Schizosaccharomyces pombe: one gene and its partner. The protein of the gene in region 2 binds, or shares a complex with, the protein of the main gene of each other region. Each region holds a gene or a part of one and is shown on either strand. Other genes may lie near its edges. The genes, in order: cut7 and nda2. A codon is read from its position in the direction of its gene.

Region 1 (6,180 bases), on a different chromosome or scaffold from region 2:
ATGTTGATTTCTTAGTTTTTGTGTGACGATCAACCTTAACACATAAATAATCACCATTAGACTGCCAGTACAACTTACAGTCGGAAACATTGAAAAGATTTTTCGTACGGATAGTTGATTTTGAAGGAATACTAATTAAGGCAACGCGAGCAGGTTGATTGGTAATTTCAGGGGTCCAGTAAGCTAAAAGCTGCTCCTTGGAATCACGTCCGAGAGCATCTGAAACTGGGCACCATTCAAAATTTTGCACACCGTCGATCTTGATAGTTTTCTTGTCAACCAAAGCAAGGGAGGGTGTCTCATAAACAGAAATCGACTGACCAACAGTAACGCGAGCAAGGTATTTATCATCGGCAGACCACTTGAAAATAGGCCAAATAACTTTTTTGCCATCCTTTGAACCTTCTGGTTGAGGAGGAATCTTAAAAGAACGAAGAATACGACCAGAGGCAATATCCCAAACGAAGCAATGTTTTCCTTCATCATCATCAGTGAAAGGCATTGTTTCACGAGCCGGATGTCCGATGGGAGGAAGTCGAACAGGCTCATAGGACCATGAAACAAGATACTTCTCGTTAGGGCTGAAGTCGACAAATTTTACGTAGGGGTGCAAGAAACGAGCACACATTCCCCAAGATTCCCCACCCCATAATTGAATACCACGAAGATGAAGTGATACGAGGTAAGTGCCCATGGGAGACCATTGCACGTAGGTCTCGGTCCAGTTTTCACGATCCACAATCTGTTCAGGGACGTCGCTCTTACGGTTCCAGTTAACAGATACACGGTTACCGTAATAGCTGATAAATTGATCACGACCATAGTAATCAGTTAACCAGCTACGCAAATGTTCGCGCTCCTTAAATTCACGTTCTTCGAAACTAAATTCATCAGGAGTGCTAAAAGCTTTTTCGAGTTGATTCAACTTACGAACAACGAAAGTATGGTTTTTTAAAATTTGCTTTCCATCCAACTCTTGAACGCAAAGATCGGCGCCATCAACATTTTCAAAATCGGCGAAAACTAGTCCAAGAGACATCTTTTTTCCATTTTTTTCCTCAAATGGCATATAAAATCCATTTTCCTTAACCTTTCCAATTTTAGCAAGGACTTTTGAGCTCAAAAAACGGAAGAAATCTTGCTGCTTAGCTTCTTCGACAACTGGAGCACCTTCGATTACTACAACCGTGTCATATCCAACAGGTTTAGTTACATTAAGCTTAACTTCCAGTTCAGAAACATCGATTTCCTCGTCCTTTACGACGATTTGATCCTTAATTTCCTCAATTAGGATTTCCGACATTTCTGGTGTAGTGCCGTTGTCTCTAGTCAAGTTTCTTCACCCAGTGACTGGGGGGACATCGAAGAGTAACTTTAGAGAAATTTAAAAAAAATTGAAAGTAATGAAAAGTAGAATTTAAAAAACATGGTATCATTTAAAATAAACTAATAAAGTTGATTCTGTTTTATATTTCTTCTTTTTTAGATTTTAACTCATTCTACCGATTTTGACTATTATCATTACTGACAACAGTTTATCTGCCAAGTTCGTTCATTTTGTATTGATTTTTAGTATTAGCACAATTGTTGGATTTTTCATAAAAGTTCTTTTTTCTCTTTTTATACTGTTGATTTGTACTGCAAAACATTGGAATGAGACATTCCAAGTGTTACCGTGTCTGAGTCCTCGTTCTTGTTTACAACAATTCAACAACATACTCAGGAGCGACAATTGTCCAATTTATTCATTCTTTTTACCCCTAAAAACAGACGTTTACGATCTTTTCCTATTTTAAATTTACCCCTTTTTTTTATATTGTGGTTTATTGAACTTTACAACAGAATTGCAATTTAAATTAACAACCTTGTCGCTTTCTTTGTAACAATCCTTACTCATAAAACCGAATGGCCCCTAGAGTTGCACCTGGTGGCTCACAACAATTTCTAGGAAAGCAGGGGTTGAAAGCTAAAAACCCGGTTTCTACTCCAAATTCACATTTCCGCTCTGCGAGCAATCCTAGGAAACGACGTGAGCCTCCTACTATTGACACTGGGTACCCAGATCGCTCCGACACTAATTCTCCGACAGATCATGCACTTCATGATGAGAACGAAACCAATATTAACGTAGTCGTCCGTGTTCGTGGTCGTACAGACCAAGAAGTACGCGACAATAGTAGCCTTGCTGTATCGACTTCGGGCGCTATGGGTGCTGAATTGGCCATCCAGTCGGATCCTTCATCCATGTTGGTCACGAAGACGTATGCCTTTGATAAAGTCTTTGGTCCTGAAGCTGACCAGTTAATGCTATTCGAAAATTCGGTAGCGCCCATGCTGGAGCAAGTATTGAACGGCTATAATTGTACTATATTTGCGTACGGACAAACTGGAACCGGTAAAACATATACTATGTCTGGTGATCTTAGCGATTCCGATGGAATTTTGTCTGAAGGAGCAGGCCTTATTCCTCGTGCCCTTTATCAATTATTTTCCTCCTTGGACAACAGTAATCAAGAATATGCTGTCAAATGCTCCTATTATGAACTTTACAACGAGGAAATTCGCGATCTTTTGGTTTCCGAAGAATTGCGAAAGCCAGCTCGTGTTTTTGAAGATACTTCGCGGAGAGGGAACGTTGTTATTACTGGTATTGAAGAAAGTTATATAAAAAATGCTGGCGATGGGTTGCGATTGTTACGTGAAGGCTCTCACCGGCGTCAAGTTGCTGCTACAAAGTGTAACGATCTTTCATCTCGTAGTCATTCAATCTTCACGATAACTCTGCATAGAAAGGTATCTTCGGGAATGACAGATGAAACTAATTCACTTACCATAAATAATAACTCTGATGACTTGCTGCGCGCCAGCAAACTTCATATGGTTGATTTGGCTGGAAGCGAGAACATTGGACGTTCTGGAGCTGAAAACAAACGTGCTCGAGAAACTGGAATGATCAATCAATCACTATTAACATTAGGCCGAGTAATTAATGCATTAGTGGAAAAGGCCCACCATATTCCATACCGTGAGTCCAAGCTTACACGCCTATTGCAGGATTCTTTGGGGGGAAAGACTAAAACCTCTATGATCGTTACCGTATCTTCTACTAATACTAATTTGGAAGAAACAATTTCTACTTTGGAGTATGCTGCTCGTGCTAAAAGTATACGCAATAAGCCTCAAAATAATCAGCTTGTCTTTCGAAAAGTCCTTATAAAAGACTTAGTGTTAGATATCGAACGATTGAAAAATGACCTTAATGCCACCCGTAAAAAGAACGGAGTTTATCTTGCTGAAAGCACGTATAAGGAGCTTATGGATCGTGTTCAAAACAAAGATTTGTTATGCCAGGAACAGGCTCGCAAACTTGAAGTGCTGGACTTAAACGTTAAAAGTTCGAGGGAACAACTGCAGTATGTTTCTAAATCTAATCAAGAACATAAAAAGGAAGTTGAAGCTCTGCAACTGCAACTGGTTAATTCATCTACAGAGTTAGAAAGTGTAAAGTCTGAGAACGAAAAGCTGAAAAATGAACTAGTTTTAGAAATCGAAAAACGAAAAAAATACGAAACCAATGAAGCTAAAATTACAACTGTTGCAACAGACCTTTCCCAATATTACCGAGAATCAAAAGAATACATTGCTAGCTTATATGAGAAGCTTGATCGCACTGAACGAAATAATAAAGAAAATGAAAACAATTTTTGGAATCTTAAGTTCAATTTGTTAACGATGTTGAGATCTTTTCATGGAAGTTTTACTGATGAAACAAATGGCTATTTTACTTTGTTGAATGATTTTAATGCTTCAATGGAAGAATTATTGAACACCCACAGTAATCAACTGCTGATTTCTATGACCAAAATTACTGAGCATTTTCAGAGTTTAGATGAGGCGTTGCAAAGTGCTCGTTCTTCTTGTGCAGTACCTAATTCTAGCTTAGACCTAATTGTTTCTGAATTAAAGGATTCCAAAAACAGCCTTCTTGATGCGTTGGAGCACAGTCTGCAGGATATTAGCATGTCTTCCCAGAAGTTGGGAAATGGAATTTCTTCGGAATTGATAGAATTGCAGAAAGACATGAAAGAATCATACCGACAACTTGTTCAGGAATTAAGATCACTATATAATTTACAGCATACTCATGAAGAATCACAGAAGGAGCTAATGTATGGTGTGCGTAACGATATTGATGCTCTGGTTAAAACTTGCACAACATCTTTGAACGATGCAGATATAATATTAAGTGATTACATATCTGATCAAAAATCCAAATTTGAATCCAAGCAACAAGATTTGATTGCTAATATTGGTAAAATTGTTTCAAATTTTTTACAGGAACAGAACGAATCTTTGTATACCAAAGCGGATATCTTACATTCACATCTCAATGATACAAACTCGAATATAAGGAAAGCAAACGAAATTATGAATAACCGTTCAGAAGAGTTTTTACGGAATGCGGCTTCACAAGCAGAAATCGTGGGTGCCAATAAAGAAAGGATTCAAAAGACAGTTGAAAATGGATCTCAACTGCTTGACAGTAAAAGCAAGGCCATTCATAGCAATTCCAGATCAATGTATGACCATTGCTTGGCTTTAGCGGAGTCTCAAAAACAAGGTGTTAATCTTGAAGTTCAAACGCTGGATCGTTTGTTGCAGAAAGTAAAAGAGCATTCAGAAGATAATACCAAGGAGAAGCATCAACAATTACTTGATTTATTGGAATCCCTTGTTGGCAACAATGACAATCTTATCGATTCCATCAAGACACCGCACACTGAATTACAGAAAATTACAGATCATGTTTTAAAGGGAACGACATCACTTGCTAATCATACTAATGAATTACTTGGTTTAGGAGATGAATCTCTATGTAACCTTGAAACTACTATAGAAGACACGTCTTTGGTGAAGCTGGAAACAACTGGCGATACACCTTCCAAACGAGAACTTCCTGCCACTCCATCTTGGACACGAGATTCGTCTTTAATTAAGGAAACTACGAATTTAAATTTAGATTCGGATAAGAAATTCGTTAGGGAAACCTACACATCGTCTAATCAAACTAATGAGCCGGACGTATATGATAAACCATCTAATTCATCAAGAACTAGTCTTTTGCGGAGTAGCAGAAGTGCCTATTCCAAAATGAAACGATAATGACACGATTTTATTAATTTATACTTAATGGACGAAAATACAATAGAAATGTATTACATCTTGGGGCTTTGGCTGGTTAAAACGGAAAGTTTGGTTATGTGTGTACATACTGCGTTTTAAATAATAGTTTTAGGAGTTGTATACATATAAAGATTAATTTAGATAGAAGTTTAATGATATACAGACGAGGTTAATCGATATACAAGGACTCTGGAAAAGGGGTGATACATTAGCTATGTTCTTACTTTTACAATATTCGAAAGCAATATACAAGACTGATAAAATCTTTGAAGCTACAGATATGGCGTCAAAAAGCAAATTGAATCGTAAAAGGTGTAACGAGATTATATTTTTTGCAAAGATGCTCTTAACAACAATGGGCCAAAGCAGCTTTAACGCAATCTTCTGGCCTCACGCTCTGATTCAAGAAGAACCAAGATGTCATCTTCACGAACAGGTCCCTTAACGTTACGAATGATAGAACGAGAAGTGTCATCCATAAATTCGACACGGACTTGGGTGACTCCACCACTACAGAGAAGTTAGTAATCATTGCTTGCTGGATATACAAAAGCGAGGAATAATTAGAATCTTTTATGTTTATTCGTTTAACACAAATCAATTTATGTGAATACAATATGTTGAATTTAACAATAAACTGACAAGTTTCCCAAACTTACCGAGAACCGGTGCGACCGAGCACTTTAATGACCTTTGCCAATTTAACAGGAACCTTAGAAGAATCCATTATCCTCTTGATATGTATAAGAGTGCGTGGTGTTTAGGAAGAATGTATAATGCACCGCCTAAAATTATGGGGAACATTGTGACTGCTTTTTCGACATTGGTGGTGGTAGTTAGTAAACGGTACATACCGATGCGTGCGTGAATTGACTGTAACGCCATAGCGTACAAGTAATCCGTTACTAATAATTAGAATGGATTTGGTTAACCACTTGGAAGATCGGTTACTTTTTGCTGTTCCCAAAAGTAAGTGAAGCTTTTAAAGAAGCACAG
Region 2 (4,318 bases):
ACCTTTGTTTATGGAATCATGCATATTATAAAGATTACGGTCTTTTAAATCGCTCAAGATACATCGACACATGGTTTGATTGCATAGATTGGTCTGTCATTGAGGAAAGATTGACTAATTCTTTGGTATGAAAGAAAGGTGCAATCAATTTAGATAATTATATCTCATCACAATCTTGTTATGATTTTAAAAAAACGCCTTTTTCTACTTTCACCTTATAAATTTCATTCTAATTTTAATAAAAATTGTGTTTTCTCTACTCGTCCTTGAAACTTCTACAGTAGACTGTTTTGGCTCATGCTCGTATTCTAAATGATTTTAGGCTAATTCCGAGCAATCGAGTCATATAAGTTAAGTAATTTATTAACCAATTAACCGATTTATTGCTTAGAGGTTGAGATTAAAAACATTTTTTTTGTAAAGCTAGAAAAGCGCCAATACACAATGTAATTTACAGTTTATAGTGTCTCTTTTTCATGCAAAATTAAAAAAAAAAGATACCACAGAAAGGAGAAATTGAAATTTTACTGGTGGTTTATTTGCAAAGATAGAGTGGATTAGATTGATATCTAAATGAGAATTGACTAGTAAAGAAAAAGAATGTTCAAGTTAAAAAATCAGTGAGATAAGTGGACGAGCAATTTATCTCCTTGCCGCTGGGTGAACATTTTAACTCTCAAAGAAAGACAGACACCCTTTAGTTATTTGACCACAGGGCTGAATAAACAAAGATTAAAGAGACAAGGGTAGATGCAAGATATCTTCAAGTTATAAAACGAATGAAATAACGTATAAAAGCGATTATTGGATAAATTAATACTCTTCGTCAGCTTCGTACATTTCGTTATCCATAGAATCTTGACCAACCTCTTCGTAATCCCTTTCTAAGGCAGCCAAATCTTCTCTGGCTTCTGAAAATTCACCTTCTTCCATACCTTCACCGACATACCAATGAACAAAAGCACGCTTGCTGTACATAAGGTCAAACTTGTGGTCCAGACGAGACCAAGCTTCAGCAATCGAGGTGGTATTTGAAAGCATACAAACAGCACGATTTACCTTAGCGATTCCACTACCAGGAACGTGTTGGGGTGGCTCATAGCAAATACCGATTTTGAAACCAGTAGGGCACCAATCAACAAATTGGATGGTGCGACGAGATTTAATGCTAGTAACGGCAGCCTGGACATCACGTGGGATAACATCACCACGATACAAAAGACAAGTAGCCATATAGCGGCCAGTTCGTGGATCACATTTTACCATTTGATTATAAGGCTCAAAGCACTGATTCGTAATCTCTTGTACGCTGTTGGATTCATGGAATGCTTTAGCTGCACTGACAATAGGAGAATAAGTGACTAAAGGAAAGTGAATACGAGGGTATGGCACAAGATTAGTTTGAAACTCATTTAAGTCAACATTTAAGCTACCAGCAAATCGAAGAGAAGCGGTGATAGAAGAGACAACTTGAGCAATAAGGCGGTTGAGGTTTTCATAGGTTGGACGCTCAATGTCAAGATTTCGGCGACAGATATCGTAACAAGCCTCATTATCAACCATAAAGGTACAGTCAGAGTTATCGAGAGTAGCATGGGTAGTGAGCACAGAGTTGTAAGGTTCAACAACGGATGTGCTCACTTGAGGGGCGGGATAAACAGAAAATTGGAGGTTAGATTTCTTTCCGTATTCCATGTTCAAGCGCTCCAGAAGTAAAGCACCCAAACCCGAGCCGGTACCACCACCAAAAGAATGAAATACAAGGAAACCTTGGAGACCAGAACAATTGTCAGCCATACGACGTATCCTTTCTAATACACTATCAATCATTTCCTTTCCTACAGTATAATGTCCACGGGCGTAATTGTTAGAAGCATCTTCCTTACCAGTTACCATCTGTTCAGGATGAAACAGATCTTTATACGGTCCAGTACGAACTTGATCAATAACGTTAGGCTCAAGATCAACATAGATACTTCTAGGTACGAATTTTCCTTGCCCGGTTTCAGAAAAAAATGTACCGAATCCATCATTTAAATAGCTATTGTTTTTGTGAACTTCGGAGTTTTCTGTAGGAAAACCGTCGGGTCCTATGCCATGCTCCAAACAGTACAACTCCCAGCATGCTAGAAATGTTAGCTAAATTTTTTATGAAAAAATCGATTGCCAACTATTTAGAGTATACAGCAATACAAAAAGATGGATATTGAACATACCGTTACCGATTTGAACACCTGCTTGTCCAACATGAACAGAAATTACTTCTCTCATAATTTGTGATAATAACGAATGTAAATGCAACTAAACGCGCTACACAAGACGTTTTGGTTGCAAACTTAGGTTGTTTGTCAAGGGAGAGCGTAGGTACTCCAAGTCATGAGTAGGAAATAACGAAAAACGAATGAACTCGTAAAGCACTAAGGAGGGAAGTTTATGCAATGAGGTTCCAAAACTCATACCATGCAAATAACATAATGTTTTATAAAGAAGTAATATAAGTAGTATTCATTAATATTCTTGCAATGATCAATTTTCGAATTTTTCTGTACTGTACGGATTGAAGTGACGATAAATGTAAACAAAGAACTATGATTTGAAAGACATTTTTTCACGAAGCAAATGAACATAATTATTAGTATTTAAGCATAAATAATGAGAATTATGCTCCTTTGCCAAAGAATACGAGAATTTGTTTCAAATATGTAACAATTGTTTATAAAAACATACTAGCAACACTTTACGGTTTTTGATAAGAAAGGTTATAATCATTGCATTGCGTTTTACTGTTTTCTATATAATGATGTTTTATACTTGAGTGATTTGCAATAAATGCATTAAGCGTATACTTAAAGGTTAGAAACCTCAGAAAGTAGGTTTGAAAGCAAAGCTTTGTGGGTTTGTAATCACTGTCAAATTACTATGCGTTTAGCCCGACAAAAGATTTTGGATTCCCAGTTTTATGAAACCTAATTAAAAGCAGCTTGCTTAATTATTTTCTTAATAGTATGTATTTTACGTATGGTGAATCTAGTATAGAACATTTGATCATATGGTTCTTTTAAGGGATTAACAAATTGTAGAGGTTCACCTTACCTTACGCCAAATCCTATTTTCTACTGACAAGAACGAATTCAATGTACTTTTAGCCTTGTTTTAAAATTACAGTAAAAAATGGGCCGATCGTGTAAAGTTATTCGTGAAGATTTAGCAAATTGTTTGTTACATTCTGATTGTATGTTTGTTAAAAAAAAAAGTGCACGAGAATGTCTCAAAAACAAGGACGAACTTCCAGAAGAATGCAAAAATCTGATAGAGGCGTATGGCGAATGCAAACGTCAAATGGTACGTTAATGCTTGGCTCTTATTATTTTACTAAATGGTTATAATTCAGCTGGATATGACTAAACGATATCGAATTGCGCCAGAAAAAAACACCGACCAAGATACTGAGAAGCCATCAAATGTTGACGAACAATAAATCTATGGTTTCATAGACAATTAAATCATACAAACAGATATTACTAAATTATGCCATTAAGAAAAGCTACCTATTCTATGAACCATCAGAGGTCGTAGTGTGTTAAATTCTAGCGATATTATTTCGACTATCTACTTAATTAAATGCATTCAAGGTTTCGATTTTAAAGATGAAGTTTTAATTTCCGAATTCCCTGCAAACAAATTAAAAGTGTTTTCTACTAGGTATAATCAAAGATATACAGTATAATTCACCCTCTAGGATTATCTCTAGCTATCGGTTTCTAAAAAAAAAATTGAGATATAACTACACAAACTTTCCTTAAAAATCCTGTTTCTCAAGTTAACTCAAAGGCACATTCGAACAGTGAGAAAGACGTTAAAGCAATAAATTTCTAAATAATAAATAAAACAAAATAAAATAATTTACACCTTTTCGGCTGGCTTTTCATCGCTATCACCTTTCTTTTTTGCTGGCACAGATTGAGCATTACTTATCAAGGGACGGCTTTTAATGAAAAATATAGAAGCAAAACCAATTGCCATCACAACAGTACAAAATATCCAAATAACCCTGAAGGCAGACGCATAGGTATTCTTTACACGAATCTGTAATTCCTGGGGTAACCGTTCAACCTGTTTATAAGATAACTGAGCATAAGTTGTATTCCCGTCAAAGGATTGAGTAACCCGTTCATTAAATATTACTTCACCAACTGTAATACCAATAGAACCACCCATGGTACGTATAAACATAAGTGTAGCAGTAGCCATGGAAGTCATTGCAGGTGGAAAAGTTGCCTGCATTGCAATGAGCGGAGGCAGAAAAAGAAAACCAGAT

The links.
Region 1: the proteins of nda2 (region 2) and cut7 are in contact, whole or in part, in a cryo-EM structure (PDB 6S8M), measured with the Schizosaccharomyces pombe proteins. Residues at the interface, in NP_596774.1 of Schizosaccharomyces pombe: His111 (codon at 1,851), Tyr112 (codon at 1,848), Lys116 (codon at 1,836), Ser404 (codon at 972), Lys405 (codon at 969), Arg406 (codon at 966), Val409 (codon at 957), His410 (codon at 954), Val413 (codon at 945), Gly414 (codon at 942), Gly416 (codon at 936), Met417 (codon at 933), Glu418 (codon at 930), Glu419 (codon at 927), Gly420 (codon at 924), Glu421 (codon at 921), Ser423 (codon at 915), Glu424 (codon at 912); in NP_594527.1 of Schizosaccharomyces pombe: Ser331 (codon at 2,896), Glu332 (codon at 2,899), Asn333 (codon at 2,902), Ile334 (codon at 2,905), Gly335 (codon at 2,908), Arg336 (codon at 2,911), Ser337 (codon at 2,914), Gly338 (codon at 2,917), Ala339 (codon at 2,920), Thr347 (codon at 2,944), Gly348 (codon at 2,947), Met349 (codon at 2,950), Asn351 (codon at 2,956), Gln352 (codon at 2,959), Leu355 (codon at 2,968), Arg359 (codon at 2,980), Asn362 (codon at 2,989), Glu366 (codon at 3,001), Leu405 (codon at 3,118), Glu406 (codon at 3,121), Glu407 (codon at 3,124), Ser410 (codon at 3,133), Tyr414 (codon at 3,145), Arg417 (codon at 3,154).

The regions. Positions count from the first base shown.
Region 1 is NC_003424.3:4,305,702-4,311,881, reverse strand, and holds cut7 (kinesin-5 family plus-end directed microtubule motor, bimC subfamily Cut7), read left to right. Parts: upstream 1-1,544; 5' UTR 1,545-1,905; coding exon 1,906-5,163; 3' UTR 5,164-5,371; downstream 5,372-6,180. Other genes in the region: tif302 (translation initiation factor eIF3b (p84)), read right to left, coding at 1-1,303; rps2801 (40S ribosomal protein eS28), read right to left, coding at 5,556-5,694, 5,844-5,911; his1 (ATP phosphoribosyltransferase), read left to right, coding at 6,102-6,153. UniProt on the Schizosaccharomyces pombe protein: Could be a spindle pole body motor. On transition from G2 to M phase of the cell cycle, the spindle pole body duplicates; the daughter pole bodies seed microtubules which interdigitate to form a short spindle that elongates to span the nucleus at metaphase.
Region 2 is NC_003423.3:4,266,944-4,271,261, reverse strand, and holds nda2 (tubulin alpha 1), read right to left. Parts: upstream 2,351-4,318; 5' UTR 2,272-2,350; coding exon 2,217-2,271; exon of another isoform or gene 2,127-2,216; coding exon 814-2,126; 3' UTR 501-813; downstream 1-500. Other genes in the region: SPOM_SPBC16A3.14 (mitochondrial ribosomal protein subunit S26), read left to right, coding at 1-131; cytochrome c oxidase assembly protein Coa5, read left to right, coding at 3,172-3,342, 3,392-3,478; SPOM_SPBC16A3.17C (transporter), read right to left, coding at 3,904-4,318. UniProt on the Schizosaccharomyces pombe protein: Tubulin is the major constituent of microtubules, a cylinder consisting of laterally associated linear protofilaments composed of alpha- and beta-tubulin heterodimers.